2 linked regions of the Callithrix jacchus genome follow. The protein of the gene in region 1 interacts with the protein of each later gene in a pairwise test. Links are inferred from orthologs where the notes say so. Each region holds a gene or a part of one and is shown in the gene's direction. Other genes may lie near its edges. The genes, in order: AKAP7 and SPA17.

Region 1 (3,469 bases):
AACTGAGCTAATCTTAATGTGCAAATGTCCTCTGACTTCTTGGCCTCCAGCCTTGTTCTTTCCTGGGTTCCCAGCTCGATGGGAGGAGATTGAGCACTGAATGGACATGGGGAAGGAGCCTCTTAGTTCCTTTCCCCAGTTAAGGGGGGCAAGGAAGAGAGTGACTTGGAAATGTATAGCATGAGAATAGTTGGGTATCAGCTCTTTGAGAGTAAAATGAAAGATGAAATAATTAGACTTGGATCATCATGATCAGCAAAGTAAAATAACCACAAAACATTTACATCTAGTAATTTACCATCATAATCATAATTTTTCTTTGAAGAATTTCCTATTTCTTCAATAGCAGTGATAGCACTGACATCAAAAAAATACTAGCCTTATAAGCTTATTTTAAACCAGTTCCTAATGGTAGTAACTGCCTTTCTCTTCATGGCATTGCTGAGCATTGATTAACAACCAAGCTATAGGCCACGCATTTTTAAATTAGTGATCTTAAGTAATGAGATCGTAGGGAAATCTCGATCTGATATTTGATATTGGAGAATCAGAAGAGGTCATAGATATACTTAGTGAATTCACATGTCTGAGGCTCCACGTGGTGGGGACGTGGACATTAGTAGTAGTAATTAGCCTTGGATGAGACAAGAACCGAAATTCACATATAAATGGGAAACAGCCAGCGCTGCTAGGTAGAGCTTGTCTAGATTGGGACTAATGAACTACTTTTCAATCTGAAGGCGTCAGGAATAGACAGGCTCCTACTTCCGCAAATACCAAATGAAAAGCCAACCCACTGTTCTTGAATTTATAGATCCAATTTACACTTGCTCTTTTTAACTAATGGAACTAGCCGGCCCCTGCATGCCAAGTTTCTATGGCAATGTGATCTCAGTGACCTCTCTTCTCTATTGTGGAATGTAGGTGAAAAGAACGGAGGGGAGCCTGATGATGCTGAACTGGTAAGGCTCAGTAAGAGGCTGGTGGAGAACGCGGTGCTCAAGGCTGTCCAGCAGTATCTGGAGGAGACACAGAATAAAAACAAGCCGGGGGAGGGGAGCTCTGTGAAAACTGAAGCAGCTGATCGGAATGGCAATGACAATGAGAACAACAGGAAATGAGGCCTGAACACAGGTCCTCAAGTCTGTGTAAAGCATCCCTGCTCCCCTCTGCTGAGTCTAGGGACTGACTTGCAGCGTGCTGTTTAAGTTTCTCTGGTTCAGTCTGTGGAGATTGCCTAATACTTTCATGATCGATGTGATGGCGTTTCTGAAACACAACAAGAAAAATGGAGTGCTGGGACTGGCAAAGGAAATTAATTTATGAAAGAAGAATGGCCCAAGTTTCACTCGCCCTCAGCCATGCACAAGGGAGAGAGAACTTTGGGTTATGCCTCCTGGACACAAATTACAGGCCGCGAAAGAGGCCTTGCCATCAATGGAATACTGCCATTTATATTGCTTAGCAGGGCATTTGACTACTTTATCTGAGGCCAGAACTCTCACACACAGCTATCAAGTGCTAAGTTTAAAATAATCACTGTTGAAATTGTCATCTGTACAATTAGTCCATAATGTTTCATGTCTGTCCTAAGTGTGCTGTTGCTATGCAGTGATCTTTATTTATAGTAAATTATGTTTCATGTAAATGATATATTTTGGTGAAATGCAACCTTTTCTATAAAATGTGGGCAACATTTTAAAGTTTTTTTAAAATCCTATTTTGATAAGTCAGTATGCCATATTTAATGAAATGTATTATATAATTTTTTTTCTTAGGCAAGAAACCTATTGGAATTCAAGAATTAATTAATGAAGCTTTGCATCGAGAAATGATGGGTCTGAAGTCCAAAGTGAAACAGATAAAGGAACTTTTATTAAAGCCTGAGATTCAGGCCAAAATTAGGAGGGAGCTTTTTGAAGGAAGACTTATTAATAACAGTAATCCAGCAAATGATGTTATTTTTGGCACAACTTTGACATAAGCTCTACATTGCAATTGTGGCAACATAGCCCCTGAAATCTTTCCAGCTTACCAAGTAGCTCTTTGGTATACACCAAAGAAGTTTCTGATAGTGTCTGCACAACAGCAAACCAACATTTGGTAAGGAATTAGCAATTTCTTGCCAAAGAAAACTCATTCTGCCCTGTTATTTTTTGAGCTAAACTTGTGTTTTAGAATGTCTGTTTCTGTGATATTGAGAGTTATTTTATAAAAATGATTTCTTAATTAGCCGTTGTGAGATATTTCTTGGGTCCTTGCAGAAGAAAATACAGACTGTGAAGAAACCATTCACAGACAAATAGAACAAAACAGAGCCAACAACAGTATTTGAAGGGTCACTTGCCTCCTGTTGACATGATTGTTGCTAAATCAAAAGAAGCATTGTCCAGGTGTGTCTATATCTAGTGTTACTTTTAATGAGAATTTGAATGTTTATTGAACAATAGTACTTGAACGAACATTTATAAATGTAATTATTGCGATCACTGGTTAAGAATGTTTTATATATCCTTATAATATTTTTCACTGATCAAAATGTAGTTTGCTTTTTCATTTCTTAAGGAATTCATGTTTGGGATTTTTATTTTTTACATTTTCGAAGATAAGCTCCAGGACTTATCAGATCCCTTGTAATCTGAATGTGTTTGCACTGGTTCGGTTTTAAAGAGCATTCTGGAAAACCTTTCCCTGCTATGGTGATTGTTGGTAACAGCTTTTTCTATAGTCATTGTAAAATGGCTGCTACCAATAGATCATGATAGAGGGAAATCACTGGAGATCAAATGTGTAAAATCATTTCAAATATAAAATCCAATTTACTCATGGATTTTAGCTATTTTTTCACTGAGTAAATTATACTACATTTATTTACAAATGAGTTTATGCATTTTCCTGGCTCTTAATAAACATACTGTTTTCCCTTGCCTTTTCTCATCTCTTCACTGTTGGGAGTAGCTGGATCTATGTTGGCATAAGGAAGTTATCAACAGGAGCTCTGACAGCTTCGGTGTTGCTTCACCTTTCTGTTCCTGTCCTTCATGCTGAGGTCGCACAGTGGTCAAAGCACCATCAACTTCATGCTTTAAAATCGTATCAAATCAGTCAGCTTCACCGAGAATTAACAGCAGAACCTTAAATTCAAAGAAAATCTAAATTCTCAGCTTCACCGAGAATTAAACAGCTAAGAATGTGCCAGTGATGTGACATCCTAGCAAAGATGAAAAGTGGAGATCCATCCAGGTGCAGAATCCTGCAGCTGTTTGCTGTGAAACCCCTTTCAGTGGTAGAGGGCTTGACTGTTTGTAGATGGGTTCTTTAAGTAAATCCTTAAGGTGGAAAGCAAAGATAGTTTTGGCCTTGCCTTGTGTTTCAAAGAAGGGAACAGACTCCAAGAGGTGGCACACCTTATCCAAGGCCTCACTGCTGCTGGAGAACTGGACCTGAACTGTCACCCAGGACTCTGTGC
Region 2 (2,740 bases), on another chromosome or scaffold:
TTTTTTTATTCTAAAGGTTTTATTTGATTAGATTACATATTCTTAAATTTCAGTTTCATGGGTTAAAGAAACTCTTTCAATAGGTGTGAATTGGCAATGCCTTTAGTTTGGGGAGGAAGACTTAACCATTTCAAAATAGGCAGAGGTGGTTTCTCCTTTTATATTTAAATCATAAAGCAAAACGCCACAGCAAAACTTGCTTCTTTTACTAGTTTTAATTCATAAACCTCACTCAAAATTCAACTTGACGCCACACTATAGAAGACAATGCCATTTATTTTATTCCTATTTTAGAAACTATTGGAATCTCTCTTTTATACTTTGTTCAGGATTCATTATAGCATCTTATCAACTTTTAGTATAGGACAGTGGTTTACTTTGAACATAAAACAGTGGTACACACATTCCAAAAGCAACAGATCAAATGTTTTGCCAATTATTTGGTCTTTAATATTTGTTTACACATATTCCCTTAAGAGCTTTAATTATTTATTCTTGTTTTAATGTATTTTCCTTATTAAAGATAAATATGTAGTATTTAATTCCCTCTAATTCTCAGTAATTTAAAGTAATTTTAATTACTTCTAAACAGTTTTATACAAGACTTTGCTAGTTTGGAAACATTGCTAATTTCGCTCTCTCCTATCTGTCCAGAAGCAAGAACCACCTGAGAAATGTGATCCTAAGCAAGAAAAGTCTCAGATATCTGCGAAGGAGGAAGAAACACCAGTCACCATCTTAGTATGTAATATTTTTAATGTACTATTGAAGAATGATATTGCCAAATTTAAAATTGAACTCCAATGAATGTCTGTTATCTTTATCGTCAAAATTATGATTTTTACCTTCCAGATAATTAACATCAAGATAAATTCCAGATAAAGATTAACATCAAGATAATATCTTGATTAAATTAAATACTAAATATGTAGTATTTAATTCCCTCTATTTCTCAGTAATTTAAAGTAATTTTTAATTACTTCTAAACAGTTTTATACAAGACTTTGCTAGTTTGGAAACATTGCTAATTTCGCTCTCTCCTATCTGTCCAGAAGCAAGAACCACCTGAGAAATGTGATCCTAAACAAGAAAAGTCTCAGATATCTGGGACGGAGGAAGAAACACCAGTCACCATCTTAGTATGTAATATTTTTAATGTACTATTGAAGAATGATATTTTCATGTACAAAGAATGATATTGCCGAATTTAAAATTGAACTCCAGTGAATGTCTGTTATCTTTATTGTCAAAATTATGATTTTTACCTTCCAGATAATTAACATCAAGATAAATTCCAGATAAAGATTAACATCAAGATAATATCTTGATTAAATTAAATACTAAATATGTAGTATTTAATTCCCTCTATTTCTCAGTAATTTAAAGTAATTTTTAATTACTTCTAAACAAGACTTTGCTAGTTTGGAAACATGGCTAATTTCGCTCTCTCCTATCTGTCCAGAAGCAAGAACCACCTGAGAAATGTGATCCTAAACAAGAAAAGTCTCAGATATCTGGGAAGGAGGAAGAAACACCAGTCACCATCTTAGTATGTAATATTTTAATGTACAGATAAAATAACTGGTAGATCATTTTCAGCCATGCCTCTTATGATCAAAAACTCATTTTTCCCTTAAAAATAAAATCTTATTTTTCAAGAGTGTTAATGGATGGAAAATCTCCCTCTGGGGAAGGGCAGACAGAACTCACAGCCCCAGTTGTGATCCTTCAGATTCATCTTCCACTTTGGGAATTTTTCACTAACTGATGCTGTCACCACTACACAATAGCAAACATTCAGAGATAACAAAAGAAAAATCACAGGGAATTACATAAAGCCAAAATAATGGCTTCACAGCAATATGGCTTATTCATCTTCGACGCATAACCCCCTACAAAAATGCCTCTGTGCCTGATGTACTACATCCAAGCAGTCAAGACATAGAGAGGTCCACCCTCAAAGATACCTATATTCAGTGGTGTGCTAGAGCCAGCTCTCAAGAGACAATTGTGCACATTTCTACCCAGGCTCATGTTCAGTAATGTCACTTTAATAACTTGAATCATCCACAATGAGAATTTTAAGACCATGGCAAACACTGCAAATCTGGGCTTTGTTTTTTTCTGGAGAGCCAGTTGTTAAAACACTTACCAGTACATGATTGTTTATATTCTTCATAGTCCAGACTCTTGTGGACTAGGCCTCATAAGAAAGAAGAACTCACTCTACAATGTCGAAGTTCAAACTTCTGAGTTCTTTTTTATGTCTCAGGTCCCAGGTAGTTGCCCAGTAACTGGCACCCAGAATGGATATCTCCTCAAGGAATACCCTACCTCCTACCTAGTAATGTGTGACTTTTCCCTATAAGATGTACAGGTTATTCCAGAATTATATCAATACAACCCAATAAGCCTAACACTAAGATGTAACAGGACGTCAAGGAAGAAGGGAGTTTTATTTCCTTACATCTTTCATAGCTGCTCTTACACAGGTTTTCATGAGTTTGAATAGGGATCTCATTGATTTCCAACTGGACTGTTTTCATTTGCCTGTATTAGGATGTCATCTCAAAGAATTTAGTACCATTCTGTTTGCATTTAAAAGTTTGAGCTAGATTTGTCTTACTATTTATAATGGGGGGCTGGGAGCTTGAGCAACCCAAAGGCCCATTAATATGAGATTGAGTAAATATTAAATAAAAGTACATCAGTATAATATAATACAATGATGTCATAAAAA

Evidence for each region.
Region 2: the proteins of AKAP7 (region 1) and SPA17 interact in a two-hybrid assay, tested with the Homo sapiens proteins (3 studies listed by BioGRID and IntAct). The two-hybrid records come from large-scale screens. The link is inferred for Callithrix jacchus from reciprocal best matches to the Homo sapiens genes AKAP7 and SPA17.

What each region holds. Positions count from the first base shown.
Region 1 is NC_133505.1:137,944,581-137,948,049, forward strand, and holds the end of AKAP7 (A-kinase anchoring protein 7), read left to right. Parts: intron 1-924; coding exon of another isoform or gene 925-1,121; exon of another isoform or gene 1,122-1,778; coding exon 1,779-1,984; 3' UTR 1,985-2,928; downstream 2,929-3,469. UniProt on the Homo sapiens protein: Probably targets cAMP-dependent protein kinase (PKA) to the cellular membrane or cytoskeletal structures.
Region 2 is NC_133511.1:24,277,139-24,279,878, forward strand, and holds part of SPA17 (sperm surface protein Sp17), read left to right. Parts: intron 1-654; coding exon 655-741; intron 742-1,052; coding exon 1,053-1,139; intron 1,140-1,462; coding exon 1,463-1,549; intron 1,550-2,740. UniProt on the Homo sapiens protein: Sperm surface zona pellucida binding protein. Helps to bind spermatozoa to the zona pellucida with high affinity. Might function in binding zona pellucida and carbohydrates.